2 linked regions of the Danio rerio genome follow. The protein of the gene in region 2 purifies or fractionates together with the protein of the main gene of each other region. This does not show direct contact. Links are inferred from orthologs where the notes say so. Each region holds a gene or a part of one and is shown on either strand. Other genes may lie near its edges. The genes, in order: phb and ndufs2.

Region 1 (11,596 bases), on a different chromosome or scaffold from region 2:
ATCTGGTGTCTGGGGCTGGATCGTATTTATCTGGTGTGGAGATGGTGGTCTAACATAGTCAATCAAAAATCAAAACTTCATTATAAGGGAAGTCAATGGGGCAAAAACAGCCACCAACATAACGGAAGGGTAGTCAATTTAAACAGACAGTACACAAGGGTTAAGTCAAACAATGCAAGATTTGTTTGTTTATTGGCACATCAGCAACTTATGGCTATTTCATGGCAAAATCAAGAGATAAAATACATACTACATAACAATAACTTCAATAACAACTTCATTCTTCAAAAAGTGTTGATATTAAATAAATGTTAAAAATAATTAAAAATCACAATTTATATAAAAAATAATTAGATATGATTTTCAGCTCAATTTTTGAAAACTAAAATAAAACAAAAAAAATCTTTTTTTTTTTGTTTTTAAAGCAGAAAGCGGAAACCACTTTATTTTATACAACAGTGATAACTTCATATAGTCAATTAAAACCATACAAAATCAGGTTAGAAATGTCTTATTTCATAGTGGATATTAAAAATTTTTTAATTTTGAACGCTACTGCTGAACGACATTTTTACAATTTGTATTACTGCAGTTAAACATTTTTATTACAACAAAAAAAAAAAGTAAAAAAAAAATCATGCTGTAATGCAACAGTTTGTCTACAAAGTGACATAACTTATTTGATAATTATAAAAGACTTTGACAGCTAAAGTCCCTGGGTTAAAAATGACAAACACACACAAATGAAAAGCGTAAACATTTAAACAAAACATGTTAAACAACATGTCTTAAATAAAAATTAATAATAATAAAAATAATAATAATAATTAAAAAAAAATAATAATCGCATTATGCCAGATCTAAATGGAAAAATGTATGAAAAAAACTGCATCTATTTGATCAAGAATAAAGAAAAAATAATAATATTGTAAAATATGTGATGTTTTCCTATGTATTACATTAAACTTTAAATCATATTAGTTAATATATTAATTTATATATTTTATGGATGAAGTTGAATTTATAAAAAATAACTCCACACTTCTGTCTCATGCAATCCTGCAGGGATCATTTAAATATGCTGATTGTCAACACACATCAACAGTTACGCTCCTTAATATTTTGTGGAAGCTGTGATATGATATTAAAGTCTTCTTTGATGAACAGAAAATCTATTTATATGGTTTTATAAGATGATTTTATTTTTATTCATTTTATTCTTTAAAATTATTAATCTTTTGACTCTCGATTAATTTCTATACATCTTTAATGAATAAAATCCCCCCTTTCTTTTAAAATCTGTTGCCGGTACCCACCACTACAGACTTCAGCACTTCAGTGGTGATGGAGGGCAGAACTCTCTCATCATAGTCCTCTCCGATACTGGTGAAAATGCGCGGCAGCTGTCCTGCAACCGGTCTGAACAGGATCCTCAGTGTGATGTTCACATTCTGCAAATCTGTCAAAGACAACGACAAACCATAAGCCAGTTTCCAATGTTTGATTAGTAAAGGTTAATGAAAACAGACTAAACATTTGAAAAATAACAATCATCATACTGACAAACAGATATTGGCTGTATCTGAAATATACCCTTATAGTGCGCTGTTTAAGGGAGCAGCCATTTCTAGTGGTGCCCAAAACCATAGAAAAATGTTCTGAAGTGCACCATATCAATCCCACAATGCACCACAATAACAAGTCTACAACCCATGTACACTCAACAGCTAGAAAATACCCAAAATGCACCATGAGAGCCAAATGAATTTCCATGTCTGACCACAACATGGCCTCCACAGTGGAATGGATGTAGGTTTCAAATTCTAATATTACTTAATTAAAATAACGATTATATACTTGACAGAAATTAAAATACTCTGTCTCATTACTAATAGGCTAAGTGTTAAAGAACTAAGTGTTATCACAGGGCCAGAACAAGAAGTTTAAAGACTAATCCATCTGAGGGATTTACCAACCAGCAAAGCACAAACAAGTGGACTATATTAGTGGACAGATGTAGGGAATAGTGCTTAAGGGGTGATTTAGGATAAAGCAATAGACAAACATAAGAGCAATCAGAAAAAGAGGATTGAAGTGAAGAGCTGAGCAGTTTGACGCACCTTTGCTACCGGTAATGACGGGTACGTTGCGTGGTCGAGACCTGCAGTCGAAGATGATTGGCTTCTGCACCCAGGGTATAAGGAAGTGTGTGCCTTCCCCAACAACAACATCCTGAACACCTCGAAACCTGTCAAAGATGACGGCCCTGTGTCCCGCATCCACTGCAATGTGAAACACAGGTCTGAACAACTGATACTACACACATTTGCAGTTCGGCCATAAATAACACATTTCAGTTACATAAAAGGTAAGTTACCCGTAATAAAAAAATTCAACCATCATTTATTTATCTACAATACAGCTGTTGCAAGACCGTTTGAGGAGGATATACTGAAGAAAGCAGCAGGAACTCGCAACAATAGCGGGACAATAAGTCAATTTTATCTGTTAACTCAAATGTGTTGTTAACAACCATTTAGTTCAGGGGTCGGCAACCCAAAATGTTGAAAGAGCCATATTGGACCAAAAAAAACAAAAAACAAATATGTTTGGAGCCGCAAAAAATGTAAAGCCTTATATAAGCCTTATAATGAAGGAAACACATGCTGTATCTATAGTAGCTATATTAGCTTACTATAAAAATGAGTAAGTTGGTTACAAATACATAATGAGCCTTCATGATTAAATAGCCACTGAAATCAGGTGGTTGGTGTTTATTTCGTTGTCATTTAAACACTTCAGCACAGCCTCTGGTCTTTCAGTGATATTAATTTGATCATTTCTTCTTGCGGCCCATCAGAGTTCATGCATAAAAGCGCATTGAATATCGGTCACATCACAGGCAATTGAGTATGCGGGCACTGAATTAATGTCCTTGGTTTGCTGATCGGTGATGTTACCTGCCATTTTAATAGCCCTTTCCTTCACTGTCTTAGCGGAGAGAGCGGTATATCTTTAATTTTTTTGTATTATCTGGGTTTTGTTTTTGAAATCTGCAAATAGGTGTTCTAATATGTTGATGAATGACTCCTTTATGTAGTCACCATCTGTGAACGGTTTTCCATGCTTTATTATCTCCCGGTTTGTTTACAACAGCCACCTGCCCGGCATCTTGCCCTGCTGATAGAAACCTGTGTCGCAGGCTATGACGCAAATCTTCGTTGACAGAAATGTTGAAATTAAATATTAATTCTACACACTTTTACAGCATTTGAAAACGTTAAAAATGTTTGTCCTCCAATAGAAATCATATTAAAACAAAAATATATACTAACCTTCCCCATCTTTTTGAACACTTTTGAAAAAACTTAAGGGAGCCACAAGGGCATCGCTAAAGAGCCGCATGTGGCTCTAGAGCCGCGGGTTGCTGACCCCTGATTTAGTTGAATGAAAGTCAGGTTTCAAACATGCAACGCTCCTCTATGACTCACCCCACTGACAAAGCTCCAGAATTTCTTTCCCCATACATGAGCTCATTTGTCCTATTTTGTCTGCTATGCCATTATAAATTGTGAAATAACCCATCTAAGAAAGCTTTAAGACCAAGCAAAATCTGACGCAAGTGAAGCCATCTTTCACTACTGACCTACTGTACTGTTGTTAAATAGAGAAAATATTTACAAGTAACTTTTAATCTAAATCCTGGACCTTATTTTTGAAAGAGCAGAAAAATAAAAAGACCAATAAAAAGGTGTTAAGCACCAAAAGTTCATTTTGAAGTCCCTGTGCATTTACTGTAGAAACACACAAACAACATAGCAGCGGGCAGAGAACTCATAGAGAAATGTTGTGCTTTATGAAATGAACAATAAAATAAAAATAAAAATAAAACGGCCACACAAGCACACCTGCTAAAAAAAAACAAAAAACAGCATGATTTAGAGTTCTCAGTCACACACACAGACACACAGACACACACAGACACACACACACACAGACACACACACAGACAGACACACAGACAGACAGACACACAGACAGACAGACACACACACACACACACACACAGACACACAGACACACAGACACACAGACACACAGACACACAGACACACAGACACACACACAGACACACACACAGACACACACAGACACACACACAGACACACACAGACACACACACACACACACACACACACACACACACACACACACGGGCTACATAAAGTGCAATTCGATAAATGTAATTTGATGAATGAAAAGTAAAATAAAAATTGACAAGCAAAATCTAGATGTTCCTCGACTTGGACAAAAAAATTTCCATGACTTTAAATATCTGAAATAAACATTTTAAAAATGAACTATTAAGATCCTTTTTTGCAGGATGAAAAATAAATATTGCTTTATAACCATTTTGAAACTGCCCCTTTTAGGCTTTGGTCCAAATTACGCCGCTTCTTTGTGACTGCCGCTTGAAATGTAAACTAGCTTTTGCTCTGTGCAAAGGCAGGTGGAGCTATAAATGTCAATGCGTCAGCATAGTGGCAGATTCATTAACAGTACTTAAGGAGATCTCTGTGAAAACTGAAAATGTGAAAGAAACGTCTCAAAAGAAGGCAGTCTATGGAGACTACAGTGTTCATTTGCGCATCTAAAACTTCACATTAATAGTGCCTTATAGTCAGTGTCATTATCTTCAGCAGGTGAACACTCTAAAGCCGCCTTTCCACTGCACATCACATTTGAACACGACTGTCGGAATACTCCCCCTTGTGGCAGTCGCACAGAACTTTCAGTTTTGTCGTGCACCATGGGAGAGAAGATGTTCTCACAGCGTCAGTAATAAAAGAGTGCAAAAGCAAGAGCCTTTACTCTCTGGGTGTCCACCATGGTTGAATGAATGAATCAACACTAGAAACTCAGACCGCTAAAAATGTTGGCGGGAATGTGGAAACAAACAAAAAAAAGTATTTTTATGACTCATTTATGAACAAAACATTTTTTAATATAGACTTTTTTCTGATTTAAGAAAAAAAAAAATCCTATTTCTCATCTCGCACGCACAGACCTGCCTGGACAACACTGAACTACATCACATGCGGTCGGTCGTATACGGTGTAGTCGCAGGAGTTCAAATATTTCCAACAGCAGCTCTGCAGCTCATATCGGATCCAAATTTTCCACATACGGAGAGAATCTGAACTCTACGCAGCTCCCGGACTACTCTCCATTGGAAATTCAACGTCTTCCAGTCTTTCGCTTGTCGTGTGCAGTGGAAGGGCGACTTAATGGCGAATGGCTGCTTCTCACTCAGGGCTGTTTATGCTAATGAGGCAGAGATCGTCACTAATGGACGGGCTTTCCCCCTCTGATGACAGGTACAATGTCAATCAAGGTGTTCATGCAGACTGTTTATCAAGTCTGATTATAATACTATTAATAAAACTATTGGATAATAATATAATATAATAAATAACTATAATAAAACTATTGTTTTACCATTACAAGCTGGTTATATTCACACACGGTTGCCACACAACTGCATTTAAACCACTTAGAAAACTGATATATGCACAAATGACCCCCTTTAAAACTCATGATATTCACAAAAATTCCAAGACCCATGGGAACTCTAAATATAGCAATATAAAGTTGCAATATTGTGCATTCCTATGACCTATCGACAGCCTCAATGTGGATAAAATTAACAACAAATTTAATTTGTTGCGTGTAAGCCCTTTAAATTGACCTTATTAGAATACTTATAGGAATTAAATGCTTTAACCATTGCTGCCATTGTTTTACAAAACACATCAGTAGTTATTACAACTCACCATTGTACAGAGCAGAGTTAACAACACCTCCTCCAATGGCCAAGGCCAATCCCAGCTTCCCAATGGACTCAAAGAGCTTCGCCATGACAACAAAGTGACAGTCCTGCGGGGAAAACACATTCATCTTCAGTATCTCATCATGGGTGATCTCTTGTGCATATAGAGCCCTTGGGTAATCAAACCAATGCTAGCCGGTTTAGCCTTGACTCTGACAGTGACACTGACATCAATGTAACGTGCTAATCTGATCTCACTCTAACCGGTCACTGGAAAAATCACAAGTAAAACTGCACAATATACACATATATACACCACTTAAAAACAATTGCTATTACAATAACACATGTGACACAGATTAACAGGCATTAATACAATCCGCAGTAGTGAACTTCACTCATTTATTAGCCTGCTACACGCTAATGATGCAACTGTCATGCAATAACGCCAACAAACACCCACACGTCGTGTTTATTTCACTTTCATACTGTCGCGTTATAATTACCGATGCTTTGTGAGTAAAACAAAAGCTTTAAGTTCGCATTTAAATGTAAGTCTCCTAAAACGTGAGCACTTACCCGCTGCGCTGAATGATCACAGTGACCTCCACCGGAGCCTGCGCAAGAAACACATGAGCAGGTGGAGCTTGCGCATGCGCAGAACAGTGTCAACATGAGTTTCTCCGATTGGATAGAGAGACACAAACCGAACGCCCTCTTGAGTAAGGAGGATTATTATTGGCGTACATCTCACGTTGCTTTAGAACGAGGTGGGTTCACTGCAATGCAATATGTGGGCGTTCCTTATTTCATTTTGTAATGACTTTAATTTATGTACTGTTATTGATACTTAAATGTCTTATGCTCAAGTTTATATCATGTTCTTTATTCATTTTTTCTTCTGTCTTTCTCTCTCTTATATTTTTTTATTGACAATGTAATTCATATTGCGTATTGTAAACAAATATTGCTACAAACTTGTCATGTGGGCGTTCTTTCGACTGCTTAAAGCTATAGTCCAACCACGTTCAAATACTGAAAATATGTTTTCAACATCGTTTAACACCTGTAACCATTGACTTCCATAGGAAAAACCAATAGTATGGAAGTCAATGGTTACCAGTTTCCAACATTTTTCAAAATAACTTATTTTGTGTTCAAAGAACGAAACACATTCATTTATTTTCTTTAGCTTAGTCCCTTTAAGGGTTGCCACAACAGAATGAACCGCCAACTTATCCAGCATATGTTTTACACAGTGGATGCCCTTCCAGCTGCAATCCATCACTGGGAAACACCCATACATACTCATTCACCTATACCACATGTTTTTGGGAGAAACTGGACCACCAAGGAGAAACCCACAACAACACGGGGAGAACATGCAAACTCCACACAGAAACGCCAACTGACCCAGCCAAGGCTCGAACCAGCAACCTTCTTGCTGTGAGGCAAATGTGCTACCCACTGCGCCACCGTGCAGTGAGCTTTTATTATTATTTTTATTTCATTGCTGTTGAAAGTGAGAGTGGTATAAAATTGCTACATTTTTCTACTGCAATTCCTGTACAGAGGCTTTACTACTAGTGTACCACATGCTGTATGAAAACAGAAAAGGACGTTTATTTATATAGCACTAATACCCCAAGATCATCAAGCATATCAAGACTCTTTGGATTCATCTTCAATGCCTCCTCCTCCATATTACCCCAGACATGCTCAATAATGTTCATCTCTGGTGGCTGGGCTGGCCATTCCAGGAGCACCTTGACCTTCTTTGCTTTCAGGATCTTTGATGTGGAGGCTGAAGTATGAGAAGGAGCGCTATCCTGTTGAACAATTTGCCTTCTCCTGTGGTTGGTAATGTAACGAGCAGCACAAATGTCTTGATACCTCAGGTTGTTGATGTTGCCATCCATCTCTTGCATGCCTCCACACTGAATGTAACCAAACCATGATTTTTTCTTAACCAAACTTGACTGATTTCTGTGAGAATCGTGGGTCTTTGTGGGTTCCAGTAGGTCTTCTGCAGTGTTTGTGATGATTGGGATGCAGCTCAACAGATGATTCATCTGAAAAACTACCTTCTGACACTTTTCCAAATGATCTACTAAAAGTCAACTAAATAAATTATTTGTTGCTTTTACAACTGGGATCAATGACAAGACTTTTGTGAGGTAGTGTAGGCCTGTGCTAATTAACCGCAGATTAACTATCTTTATATATAATAACTTTAATTAAGTAATATCTCTAAAAGTTAAAGTTATTAGTAACTAATAAAGTTAGCGCACTTAATAAACTTTTCTGATTTTGATTGTAATGCATCAAAGCCATCAAGTTACTTCTAATTGTGGTAAAAGCCACTGTAATACAGTGTATACAAGTTGAACATGGTATGTAGGTGAACCAAGTAGCCTATCTGAACATGGTGAACGACCCCTTTAAATTATAATGCTACTTCAAAACAAGGCAACATGTAGACATGCTATTATCCAGAATATGACTGTACACCCCCTACTACAGTAAGGCATGTGATGCAGTGATTACGGAAAGTCCTTCTTCAACCAGACATCTACACCCTCCTCCTCTTTTCCAGGACGACACACCCACCAGAAGCGAGTTATTATAACGCAGTGCGCAGGCTTTATGCAGTGCAGCTGTCTGTAAACTGACGGACACAAGCCCGCAGTTTTAAGGACGCATTCTTCTGAATCGGTAAGTCTCGATTATTTGTTTATTTGGCATTTGTCGGATCACGTTATAACTTTGAGCTATTTTAGGACAACTATAGTTAGCTAGCTGTGAATGTCTGCGAATGAGTCATGATGATGATGATGATGATGATGATGCGCGAATGAAACTTTATAGCAAAAGTAAACAAACGAATTACTAAATGACATTAGTTCAGGATTCATTCTCCGAATAAAATGTCGTACAGCATGATTGTGATCTTCATCACAATCAAATCAAATAAACAGCTCCTCAGTAATTGAAGCGCTTTACTGTTCTGCCCCGGTTACCTCAGGCTGTTATTTATTTAGGCTGTATCGTGGTGTTCCTGTATTTACAACAGATCGTGAAAAGGCAATTCTTGGATTTCCGCGTTCATCGCCGTTCACTATCGTGTTTTACGATTGGTTCACCTGGCCACTGACGTCACAGCGCACGGAAGATTTAATCAATTGATTGATGTTTGTTTTTATGGGTGTTGCTGAGAGATTGAACTTCTAACATGCAGCTTTACATACCATACACTAAATATACCAGGTCTTACAGAAATGAAGATACGTTGATGCTTTTCCCAAATGTAGCCATAGTTAATAGTTAATTAAACACATTGTTGTTATGTTTATTTGGTCATTTTTGTCAGATACTGTCTTAAGATGGTAAATGCATTTGGTAAATGCCATTAAAATGTCTCAGTGGTATACAGTAGACTTTTAAATAAATTAATTAACTAATTTATTCTGTATATATATATATATATATATATATATATATATATATATATATATATATATATATATATATATATATCAGGGTGTCCACAAGGTCTTAAAATGTCTTAACTCTCAAAAACTAACTTTAGGCCTTAAAAAGTCTTACATTGACCTTAATATTGTGTTGTAGGTCTTAAATTATGTTAATCATGTCTTAATTTTCCTACTGTATGTCCAAGTACAGCGAATCAATCACTGACAATCCATCTTAAAGCTATACTTGTTTTTATTTAAGATATACAAGTCACAACAGCTGTTAGACATGTTTACAGCAAATTCTCCTAATTGAATTCCTTAAGCAGGGAAAGAGTACTAAAGCAACATATCCCTTAACATAATCTTCCATTAATATAAAAACTATTTACTGAAGTAACTGGGCCAAATCCTTAGTGTTTAGCCCTGTATAAGTCAAAAATTACATTCATAATGGTCTAAAAGTTCCTTAAGTCTTTAATTTGACTTAAAGAAACCTGCAGAAACCCTGATATATATTCATTCATTCATTCATTCATTCATTTTCTTTTCGGCTTCGTACCTTTATTAATCAGGGGTCGCCACAGTGGAATGAACCGTCATATATATATATATATATATATATATATATATATATATATATATATATATTTCTTTCTAAATTTCAATAGAATAGATTTTCCTAAATTAGTTAAGTGGTAGATTGATCTTGTTATATCTAATGCAAAAAGATTAGGGCTCCGCCAATTGACATGAATAATAAGATACACTACGGGTCAAAAGTTTGGGGTCAGCAGGATTTTTAAATGTTTTAAAATAAGCTTATCCTGCCCACCAAGGCTGCATTTATTTAATCAAAATACAGTTCAAATTGTAAAATTGTGAATGTTATTGCACTGTAAAATTACTGTTCAAAAGTAGTTTATAATTTAGTTTAAAGTTATTTTTAAGATGAATTTTCAGCTTCATTTCTGCAGTCTTCAGAGACTGAAAGTAAAAATCACTCTAATAAAAAAAATAAAAAATAAAAATAATAATAATTATTATTATTATTATTAATGCTAATAGTAATAAAATCAATAATGACTGGAGTAATAACTATATTATTTAAAATTATATTGTTATTTAAAATTGTCATTAATTTTAAACAATTTTTTACATTTAATAAATGCCACCTTGACGAACAGAATAATTTTAATAATAAGAATTGATGAACAGAATAATAACCCCAAACTTTTGAGCGGTAGTCTATATATTTTTTTTTCATAAAAATAAAGCAGTGATGTCCATTATAATGCATAAAGAGTCTAAAATATTTATCATGAGATTACCCTTCTTTAATGAGCCATTAGATAACATTGCATCACTTTATTTGCGAACTTCATTCTTACCTGATATCTTTATTTTAGGGAGTGTTGATAGTGTTGTGCAACATTTTAAAAAAAGGGTGTAGGAATTGTGTGGGTGTTCGTAAAAAGAGCCTTGAATGACACAGACAACGTTGCAGCCTAAAACCAATCGCTTCAAATTGATCAAATCAGGAACTAATCAACATATAATCAGCTATAATCTCAGTATTGAAAGACCACAAGCTAAACTGTCATCTCGACACAGCAGCGTTATCATGAAATAGCCCTAAAGAGATAAGAAACTGAGGTGTGTTCACTCATTAAACTTGCTGATGTTAACATTATGGACTTTTTTGTGCATAATACAAACTGGCATACACTGCTAAGGCGCTGTAAGTCTGTAGAGCAAATACAAACTCTCATAAACATTTAGTGTAACACGTGATCCCCCATATAGAAATACAACACATGGAAATATATGCAAATTACATATATGACATAGAATTTTTCTATTTGTTTGCAAATGATGTTTAACAGAGGAAGGAATTTTTCACAGTATATCCTATAATATTTTTTCTTCTGAAGAAAGTCTTATTTGTTTTATTTAGGCTAGAATAAAAGCAGCGTCTAATTTAAAAAAAAACATTTTAGGGTCAAAATTATTAGCCCCCTTAAGCAATATATTTTTCAGTTGCCTACAGAACAAACTATTCTTATACAATGACTTGCCTAATTACCCTAACGTGCCTAATAACCTTGTTAAGCCTGAAAGAGTCATCATTTAATGCATTTTGCTCACTAATCTGCATGTTTCTGAATTAGGCTGTGTGACGAATGCCCGTAGGAAGAAACATGGACGCTGATCACCTGCTCGGAGCCTCAATCATCAGGATCCCACCTCACCACTACATCCATGTCCTGGATCAGAACACCAATATTGCACG
Region 2 (11,479 bases):
AAGCACTATTTAAAAAAAAAAACACATATAGCCTAGCTGAAGAAATGCTGCAGTTTAAAAATATTTAGATCTCTTCCTTTCATCTGTGCATACATTCACATACATGCATGCATACTCTACACATTTTAACTGTTATTGTGTACAATTGTGCACTGCATGCAATTCCATGACATTTAATGAACGTAAACACAGTCTGTCTTTACTGTTGTGTGTGTATATATCAATATAACATTTCAAAAATATGTCAAAATGAAAAACAATAACTTTTAGCTTGAATATATTTTTGCATGACTTCAATAGCCACTATGAGAACAACAGTGGATAACTGACCTAAGATTTTGGAAACAAATTTCAATACTTGTGGTTTGTGTGGTTGTGAAGTGCTCCCTTCTTGCAGATATGATAGCTCAATAGTAGTGATATTTAGCTTTTATACAGTCAAGTCTGAAATTATTTACACACTTGGCAAACTCTGACTTAAAGTTTTTGTTCAAATGTAAATAAAAGCTGAGAAATAATTTTTCCCCCAAAATGATGCCTCTTGTACATCGTCTTATTATCTTTAGGGAGAAGCCGGGGTCATTTCTGGTCACAAAAAAAGAAAAACTTGCTGGTTAAATAAAAGTTACTTTAAGCCAGAATTTGCAGGTGTATGAATTATTTCAAGCTTGACTGTATATATTGTTAGTCATATTTACATTATATTTAGCTTTTCTATCAGCTAATTTTTTTTAATAACCAGTTTTTGTAGTGGTCATTTTGAAGCCAAATGTATTTAAAAATGTATAGTGCTGAATTGTTAGCCTTGGTTAATAGGTACAGTTTGGTTAACTGCATTTGACTTAAGTGGATGAGCATGAAATAAAGAAATGGATGCTGATAAATAGCAGAACCATAACAATAGGTGTGAAACAATGGAAAAGAAATGATATATTAGGGATGCTCATATTGACTATTTATTCATTAATGGCCCAGTATGTTCTGTATACCGTTGTTTGCATGTTATAATAAATCAATATATTAAAAATGCAATATTTAATGTGTCAGACACAAAATAGACAAGTCATCTCTATGTTTTTTTCATTATTAAATGGTAACTAAATATTAATCTGAATAAATTTATTTCTTTATAACTTTATATTAATTGTTTGGATACAGAGTAGCAGTTGTCAGTTGGGAAAATGAACCATAACGAGAATCCCTAATATATATATACATTGATAAATGCAAACTAAAATTTAAAGTCACAAACAAAATTGGACTTTGGCAAACAAATAAAAAAATTCCCTGACTTTAAATGTCTGGAATAAACCTTTTAAATCCCATGATATTCCATAAATTCCTTGACCCATGGGACACTGTAGTACAGTGTTTCTCAGCCACATTCCTGGAGAACCACCAGCTCTGCACATTTACCATGACTCTCTCTCAACTACAAGAACAGAGAACGGACTCATGTTCTTATGCAGATCAGTCTTGCAAGGTCACCTTGGATGAACGAACTCAGGAGACCACGAGGACACAGAAGGCATCCTGTGAGAGAAGCTGTTGACCTTCATGCATTTATAACGAAGAACTATTCAAACATTACAGCATTCATACAATGCGTTTATGTTTTTTTCCCTTTTCAAATTTATGTATAACATGCACAAAAACCTTACAAATATACGTTGCACAATACAAATAAAACAGATTTTAATACCAATTTCAGCAAATAAACAACCTTATTGTGTTTAAGCCTCTACTATCATGTTCATGTTTACTTTCACCTTCTCATTTAGGGAAATTACTGACATAAATAAGTTATATATATCTGAACTTGATTAATAAATCTAAATAAAATGCTGCACTTCCCACTTCCTTTAACCCATCGCAATGATTTTTGGGAATTCTCTATTGAACTCAGTGCTCAAGTCTGCATCGATGTGTCCTCTATCAAGAACATATCTGGGAGCTTTCACGCGTCCTCCATACTTGCGGTCTTGAGCTTTGGAACTTAACTTTGGCTGTTGATGATGATGTTACACGAGACTACGAGGATGCAAGATCGCTGAAGAACGCATATTAAGAAACAGCCATGTGTCCTTAACCAAACACACCTGATTCAGATCATCAGCTCATTAGTAGAGACTGAGGGTGTACTCACACTATGCTATCCGAACCATGCCCAGGCCAGTTTCCCAGTTCGTTTGAGAAGTGAGAGTGCTCTGAATCGGGCTCAGGCATGATTCAGTTGGCTGGCCCTTGCCCAGTTAGAAGAGGTGTGCAAAAGTGCGGTTCACTTGAGCTATGGCGTGGTATGCTTGAAGTGTAAGGCCCCGTTTACACTAATGCGTTTTAGTTTGAAAACGCATAAGTTTTGCTACGGTTACGCCAACCGTCCACACTACGCCGGAGTTCTCGAGCGCCGAAAACGGAGCGTTTCGAAAACGCTGGAGAGGCCGTTTTCATTTTGAAACGCTGCTGCTCCGTCTCAGTGTGGATGATGGAAAACGGAGACATCTGAAAACGGAGGCGGGGCTGCAGACGTTCGCCTCTCTGATTGGGGCTTTTCCTGAATATTAAGTAGCCTAACACACAGTTCAGTCCTGAATCTTCTCCGTGTAAGTTCAGACTTCGCAAGTTTGATCAAGGCTGCAGTCTCTTCTTCTCAGTTTGATATGGAAAAGCAGACTATACCGAGGACACGGGTAAATCTTCAAAGGGAACAGTGTACTTTATAACTTCATTCACATCACCCTGGCTTCGTTGTTTCACTTTCTCAACAATAAAATGTAAACATGATTTAAGGAACTGCCTATTTTCATTTTAATATTAGCAACTTAGACAGCAGACATGTTGAGGCGCCGTGCTGTATAAGATGAGCGTCATCTTCACTGTCTGGATATTTATAACAAAACGGAGCCGATAACAACTGCCTCCTTTCAATTTCAGTGAAAATACGAAACATCCCCTCTCTTTTGCTGAGTATCAGTTTTAAGAATCGATAATGGCCATTTTAAAAGTATAACATACAATAAGTTTATACATTATAGGAAATAAAGGCAAGCGATAAGTCAATATACAGAATGTACGTGGTTACATTAATCATTAACTTATCTTTGCGCTCTGCCAAAACACGTTACCTGAGAACAAGTAATAGATTCCAATGCCCAAAGTCAGGGAATATGTCGTTAGCTAAAGACAACAAGATGAATGAAATATCCCGTTTAATAAATATAGTGAGATTAGATCCAGCGGGAGATGCTTGATGAGAAGTCCGACTAGCAGAGCTCTCATCTGGGTAGATGGGCTGCAGCGCTTGCCCGAGAGCGTCTGTGTGGTCACGTGATGTGCGTTTTCAGCGTTTTGGTGTGGACGGAGAGCAGTTCAGAAACGCTGGGTAAAACGCGAGTGTGGACGCGGATAGTTTTCATTCTAAAACGCCGTTTCAAAACTAAAACGTACTAGTGTAAACGGGGCCTAAGAGCAAATTGAGCCTGAGCCTGAAATTGAAGACAAGACGTGACTTTAATGGACTGTTTCATATCGATTTATTAATCATTCTTACTTTTCAATGAACACAAACTGCCATAGATTATTAAAGACACAAACCCCCCACTGCACGACAGCTGCACCTTTAGCAAACCTCCTAATTCCTGCAGCACAAGGACTTTATGATTATTTATGAGCGTCAAAAGTGGCGGATCTGTTCGGCAAAATATCTAACTGTGTGTCACTGCATCCCAAACGACTAAAATGATATAACTAAAGAAATCTCCACTGTGCCGAGCGACAGCGCTTCTCTTCTGTTAAACTGAACAGCGCATCATTGATGAAGTAAGCGTGCTCATGCCCAAATGCAATATGAGTGCGGGCCATCGGGGGAGACAGGAGAGGGGACAAGCGTGCTTTGGCCCGGTTTAAGGCAACTGTACATGGTGTGAGTACGCCCTAAAAGACCTGAAATGGGTGTGACAAATAAAGGTGACATCTAAAACATGCAGTGTTGGTGGTCCTCCAGCAACATGGCTTTTTGAGAAACAATGCTGTAGTAAACTTTTGTTTTATTTAATAATAACAACAAAATAATAATAATAATAATGCAAGTATAAAAAAATACAATAAAAACTAGCAAACAAAAAAGTTGCATCACATGAGATATGCTCTATTATTTTGTACCTGTAAGTAAGTCTTGTACTCTATCAATTTCTCCGTGCCGCGGTGCAGGAGGCCGATGTGAGGGTCGCATTTCTTCACAGACTCTCCGCTGAGCTCCATCACCAAGCGCAGCACTCCATGAGCTGCAGGGTGCTGAGGCCCGAAGTTGATGGTGAGGTTGGACAAATCCTTCTGTGCTGGTGGATCCTTATCTGAAATGAAAAAATAACTTTGATGTTCTTTTCTCTCCAGAATGCTTATTTAATATGGAATTTACAAGGCTAAAATCAAACCAACCATTCCAAGGTGGAGGTGTCCATTTGGCAACGGAGGGAGAGGGATACATCACCACTCCAGAGAACTGCTCCACCCACTCCACATCTGGCTGCCATTGCTTCTGCCTGAATTGAAAGAGAGTTGTTTTAAGTTTATTCACTTTTCTACAATTATTAAAATATTTTAACAATACTAAGTCATCAACAGCAATAAACAATACACAAGATAAAATACATTAATAATAATATATAAGATTAAAATCTAAAACAGATTGTTTACTCTTGATGAATTGTAAACATTTGGAAATTTAAAAATATTTCATTTAAAGTCTAAGCAGATAAAAATCAATGTCTAATAACATTAAAATAGTGCAGTTTTTATTGCCTTTGCTACTTTATTAGCAAGGAAAAGAATATTACTTGAGTGGAAATCTAAAAAACCCAACTAATGCTTCAATGTGAATGTGTGATCTGTTTTTATATTTAAAATGAGAGAAAATTAAATAACTAATGAAGGGAATTTTATGAGATATGGCAACCTATGATCACATACTTTGAAAAAAAAAGAAGACTCTCTCCTTTAACTGATCTATATAAAGAAATTTGTATTAAACAGGTTTAAATGTGATCACAAATATTATTTGACTCCAACCGCATGTAGAAGACCACCATAAACGTCATATTGTTTATTTGTATTATCATGTAGGTATTAATTTATCTGAATTATTTTTACAATTGATATTGTCTATCTAACTGCAAATGTAAACAATACTGCAAAGGTTTTTTTTCTTTTCTCTGTGTTTTAATTTTATTTTTATTTGAATTTAACTTGTTTGTTAATTTATTTCGTCGACAAGGGTTATCATGGAAAAAAAATACAACCTTGATTGTACAAAATGTTTTGGTAAAACTTAGGAAGAAAAAAAACAAATAAAAATAGATAGATTAAAATTAATTTTAAGCATCTTCTTTAAAAAACGTGTCCAAATACTTCTATATTACTTGTTGGAAAATAGTGCTTGTGCTGTCTTACAACTGTACAAATATAAGTGCATTTGCATTGGATGAACAATTCTTAAATCAAGTGTTTTTGTTTTACATTTTCACATTTACATTTTTTCATTAAAGTAAACTAAAAACTTTTAATGTATTTTTTAAATCCAACAAACAAAAAAAGGTCATTAAAATTAAATAATAAAAACACTTTTAGGGAGCACAATACATCAATACCATCTCTAAATGTCCATTTTTTTTGAGCAGACAATGATCTGTATATACAACTTAGTTCATACTGACCTCCATTACTAATTTATTTTATTTCATCATTGCCATACATTCTAATTACAATGGGGGAAAAAAGAATGTTCTAAATCTATATAAATTACTTCTAAATTATATTCTAAAAAAGAAACGTTCCTTTGATTTCCATGATGAATGACTTAAAACATTTGAATCTACTTGGGAAGCAAAATTATTAAAAATATATGTATTTTGAAACGATATGAGAATCGAGAATATAATTGAGGTAAAGTTGTTTTTTTTAATCACACATTCGGACTCTATATTGTTTACCTCAGTACTTTTGAATAAACAGTCTGAAATCATATGCAAGTATGACTTTGATACAACATTAGCACTATTTAATAGACTGTAAACACTGTTGTCCTTTGATAGTTATGGACTGCTAATATGATTTCTCTATTTAGACTTGACAATAGTTTTTTGAAGTTATAGTATTGAATATTATTGTATATGTGAATATAAAACCAAATGTACCTTAATAAGAAGATATACACTTTATATCCATAATGAAATCAATAAAACCCTCTTGCTTTGAAAACTTCAACTAAGACTTTTGTGTCGCTATTTTTGTGGGTCATTTTACCTACAAATATTGGTGAAGATTGCAAATTGCAAAACATAAAAAAAAACAATTGTGCCATTAAGAAAACCTCAGAGTCATGATTTATCAGAGATATCAAATGTGATTATTTTGTAACTGCTCATGTTTCATAACGGCTAACGTTAGCTTCAAGCTTGTTTTTTCCCACAGCTGAACGCAAGAATGGCAAAAGGGAAAACGACGTTTAATAATAATAGAATAATACGTATGTAAACAGGTCAAGTTTGCAATATTGCACATTAGCATGCTTTTCAAAACAATCTAAGTCGCAGAAATACCGGTGGCTAAACCATAACAACAACATCACCACAAGCAAGCCGCTGCTTCACCAAACCAATGGTAAAATTGCAGTGTGTTATTGACCGTGCTGTTCGTACCTCGTCTGAATCAGAGCACAGGCTGGAGAGCTGACATTACTGTTTAATAAAACTGAAGGACGTCCGAGTCTAGAGAGCGACCTCAGCATTGTAGCCGCCATCTTCCCTTCTGTCAGCGCTCTGCTTCTGTGCTGAGAGCTTCACGGCCGCTCTTTCACTGGGGCTCTGGCGTCACCCGCCGGCAGGAGGTTTACACCGCAGCTTCCAATCCAAGACTCATCCAAGAGCCACTAGATGTCAGTCGACTCTCGAGTTTGTTTTTAAGTTAGGAATGCCTGGTGCAGTTGATGAAGCGAATTTTTAAACTTCACATTGGCGAATATTTCTAAAAAATCAAATAATTTGACAAAACATGGAGCTAGCTCAATCACATTAATATTTTTTATTATTATTGCTGGAGACTAAGAGTGATGGGGTTTCTTCTGGATCCTAGACTTTATACATCCAAAATGTCATCACTAAAGGTATGTTTGAGCAGCACCCTGTACTTTACTGATGGGAATTTTTCATCATTCAACCAAAGGTATATACATTTTATATTCATATTATATAATATCTGTGTGGGCTGTACAGAAGCCCAGTGGTTAGCACTGTCACCTCACAGCAAGGAGGTCGCTGGTATGAGTCCCGGCTGGGGGGTTGGCATTTCTGTGTGGAGTTTGCATGTTTTCCCCGTGTTTGTATGTGTTTCCTCCGGGTGCTCCGGTTTACCCCTACAGCCCAAAGACGTGCGGTGTAATAATAATAATAATAATAATAATAATAATAATTAACAATTCCTTACATTTTTATAGCGCTTTTCTGGACACTCAAAGCACTTTACACAATGGGGGAATCTCCTCATCCACCTCCAGTGTGCAGCATCCACCTGGATGATGCGACATCAGCAATGTTGCGCCAGACCGCACCAGCTGATTGGTGGAGAGGAGACAGAGTGATGAAGCCAATTATAGTATGGGGATGATTAGGAGGCCATGATAGACACAGGCCAGTGGGGAAATTTGGCCAGGATGCTGGGGTTAAACCCCTACTTTTTATCGAAGGACATCCTGGGATTTTTAACAGATTTCCACGTCTTCCAGGTTTAATGTCTCATCCGAAAAACAGTGCTCACTGAGCAGCAAAGAGTCTCCATCAATATACTGGGGTTTTAGGACCCAGACAGACCGCAGGTTGAGCACCTCCTGCTGGCCTCACAAACACCAATTTCGGTTTTTCAGATTTTTTAAACTATCTAACAAGCAAACTAACTAACTAGCTAGCTAACTAACTAAATAACTAACTAACTAACTAACTAACTAACTACAATCATGGACCCAAGATACTCACAGAAATCAGTCCAGTTTGGTGAAGGAAAAATCACGGTTTGGGAAACAGAAAACTAACACATTCAGTATGGGGGCATGCGAGAGATCTGCAGAGTGGATGGCAACATCATCAGCCTGAGCTATCAAGACATTTGAGCTGCCCATTACATTACAAACCACAGGAGAGGGCTAATTCTTCAGCAGGATAGCGCTCCTTCTCATACTTCAGCTTTCACGTCAAAGTTCCTGAAAGCAAAGAAAGTCAAGGTGCTCCAGGATTGGCCTGCCCAGTCACCAGACATGAACATTATTGAGCATGTCTGGGGTAAGATGGAGGCATTGAAGATGAATCCACAGAATCTTGGTGAACTCTGTGAGTCCTGCAAGAACGCTTCCTTTGTCATTCCAGATGACTTTATTAATAAGTTATTTGAGTCATTGCAGAGATGTATGGATGCAGTCCTCCAAGCTCATGGGAGTCATACACAATATTCATTCTTTATCCACTGCACCATGATGTTATATTCTATACTGTACATTATTTTTTTTTGTCTAAGCAAAGTCAGACCTTACCGTCCTAATTAAAGAATTAAAAATCAAGGCATGATTATATTTTATTTTGATAAAATAAGCGTAATCTAGAGGCCTTTGCCTTTCAATTAAGCCACTTCTGATACCAAATGATCAACTAGAAGTCAAGTTATTATTTGCTTGAATACTCGACTTTTAAAACTTTTATCAGGTAGTGTACATGCAAAGTATCAGTCACACATTCAATACGTCACTGATTCTTAGAAAAACAGTGCTTTTATTTCTGATATACTGTGAAAAAATAATTACGTAACATTTTTAAAAAATATTGGAAAAAAATCAATGAGAAATAAAAAAAAAGTCAATAACTTTTTTGTTGTACATCTGTCAAACATTGTTTTTTCAGCTACCAAGAAACAGTACAGTAAGGTCAACGTTTATCTTCTAAGACACAATTATACAGGATACACTCCTACCAGCAGAAGAAAAAGTATTGGAGCAGGAACGTGAGAGAAGTAAATGAACGGATTACATAAAGATTTTCATATCCTCACACTCACGCTCAGTCGCACGCACAAAAACACAAGCATACCGTTGTCTACACACACTCCTCTGGCCTTAAGCCGCTTTATAAAGTGAGGGAATATAAAAGTCATGTTTTCCTAAGGCCACTCTTTAGTTTGTTCACTCCTTCATATGTTCCTTCTTCTTGACTTTGTGGAGCTTCAAGTTCGTAGACGGCAAAAGGGGAATGCAAATACTGTCCAACAAAATGGTCCCCCGCCATCGAGATAAAGGATGAGTGATTGGCAGCTCAAGTAGGTCATCAAGGTGTTTTCCCGAACGCTTTTAATAGCATCGTACCAGCTCGTACTCTTCGTAAGTACTGTACCATCGCTTACTTTCTTCACGCAATTGAAAAACAGAACAATACTGCATTTAAAGAGTGCATCACATTGGATGTTGTAAAATAATACTTGAAGTCGGAATTACACATGGGAAAGTATTTACAGGGCTCGTTGGAAATGTGGACGAAGACCAAAACGAGTGTCTCGCTGTTCCGAGGGATTGTCTTCATCCTCAGGTTTCTCATTGCTTTGATAACGCCATCCTTCAAACCCCGTTGAAGACAGTTTGTTTGCTTTTGTCTCAAAGCCAAAGACCGTTTCTGGTCTCCGAAAGGTAGTTTTTTTTTTTTTTTTTTCAAAATTGGTGTAAAATACTTCAAGTTAGTCGTCTGTGTTTGGCACAAATATCAGGTGTGTGTCTGTGTGAATAAGTGAGTGAAAGACTCTCCGATCTCCAACTACACATCAAAGTCCGTAATAGTGTTTTCGAGATGTTTATAAAACCACTTCAGACCTTAAAGAAATAGCTCATCTAAAATTCTCATTTTGATTTACTCACCTGTAGGACAAGTAAGATGTAGGTGCCCTTTTTTTTTAGTAGAATATTAAAGAAGAGTTTTAAGGCTGATTTATATTTCTGCGTGAAGCGCACGTGTATGCTCGGACATGGCCTTCAATGCGGTCGGATACCCCTCGCCGTGGCTCACGCTGATGCACACCTCTCAAAAGTTGAACTACATGTCGTATTGACGTGTAGCGCAAACTCTATGATTGGTCGGTTTGGTTGCTGTGATGAGTGTGGGCGGTGCTAAGAGCCGCGAACCCGATGGAGCGAGTGCTTACAAGTGGCAAGTCCCGTGAAGGAGCTCCAGATGGAAACTGTTGTTTTATGTTTACCTAATGATTAAAGTTGTTGCATGTCCACTGGCTCCCGCCTCTAAATGAGCACGTTTTAGCTACTTGTAGCGTTCAGGAAAAGCAAAACCCCCGTGAAGAAACTCGACACAGACGAACATAAACACCTACTGCCAGCTAGCATTTTGTAAGTGCTTTTGCAGAGTAACACAAACAGCACGCAGAAGTATAACTGCGACTAGGCACAAGGCAGGCACCGTGGGTCACGATGATCACTTGATGCAGAAGTATAAATCAGCCTTCAGCTGAAACTGTGGTCTTTAAGGCTGGTTTATATTTTTCTGCGTCAAGTGATCGTCGTGACCCACGGTGCCTGCCTTGCGTCTAGTTGTGCGTTTATACTTCTGCGTGCTGTTTGTGGTACTCTGCAATAGCACTTACAAAATGCTAGCTGGCAGTAGGTGTTTATGTTTGTCTTTGTCGAGTTTTTTCATGGGGGTTTTGCTTTTTATGAACACTACAAGTAGCTAAAACGTGCTCATTTAGAGGCGGGAGCCAGTGGACAAGCAACAACTTTAATAAAACAACAACAGTTTCCATTAGGATCTCCTTCACAGGACAAAACACTTGTAAACACTCGCTCCAACGGGTTCACGCAACTCTCGGCCCCGCCCACACTGGTCACAGCTACCAAGCTGACCAATCACAGAGCTTGCGCTATGCGACCGCGCAAAGGCTGCACCAAACCATACGTGTTCGCTTGATGCAGAGGTATAAATCAGTGTTTAGTGATTCATATAATGGAAGTCAATGTCTGTTAACACTTTTAGAATAAAATAAAAACATATACAAGATTTTAAAAAAAAAGTCTGTAATGAAGACTTCCTGTTACATAATGAAGTATAATGCGTTTTGGGTGTTTGTAAAGTCAATGTTTTCCAATGAGATTGCACATTGGAATAAAATATTCCCAGAAGGGACCTTGATGTCAAAATGACATGTAAAACATATCAAAAAACACATTAAAAATGAAAATGGAATTGATGTCAAGTGACTACCTTGATGTGAAAATGACATCAAATTCACATCTAACATTTGCGCTAAAAAACATGTCAAAAATCAGTTACAGGACTGCCTTGTTTTTGACCTGTTTTTGATGCCAATATTTATAAATGTCAATTTGATGTCATTTTAATATCAAGGTAGCTTACAGTACATGCATTTTAGAGATATACCAGTGAAA

What was found.
Region 1: the proteins of ndufs2 (region 2) and phb purify together in Homo sapiens (affinity purification with mass spectrometry; 3 studies listed by BioGRID and IntAct, with this or other methods). This does not show direct contact. The link is inferred for Danio rerio from reciprocal best matches to the Homo sapiens genes NDUFS2 and PHB1.

What each region holds. Positions count from the first base shown.
Region 1 is NC_133178.1:14,397,169-14,408,764, reverse strand, and holds the start of phb (prohibitin 1), read right to left. Parts: upstream 6,436-11,596; 5' UTR 6,410-6,435; intron 5,938-6,409; 5' UTR 5,920-5,937; coding exon 5,835-5,919; intron 2,283-5,834; coding exon 2,121-2,282; intron 1,460-2,120; coding exon 1,317-1,459; intron 1-1,316. Other genes in the region: mvp (major vault protein), read left to right, coding at 11,487-11,596.
Region 2 is NC_133182.1:19,053,757-19,065,235, forward strand, and holds the start of ndufs2 (NADH dehydrogenase [ubiquinone] iron-sulfur protein 2, mitochondrial), read right to left. Parts: upstream 6,867-11,479; 5' UTR 6,797-6,866; coding exon 6,696-6,796; intron 4,542-6,695; coding exon 4,438-4,541; intron 4,353-4,437; coding exon 4,162-4,352; intron 1-4,161. UniProt on the Homo sapiens protein: Core subunit of the mitochondrial membrane respiratory chain NADH dehydrogenase (Complex I) which catalyzes electron transfer from NADH through the respiratory chain, using ubiquinone as an electron acceptor. Essential for the catalytic activity of complex I.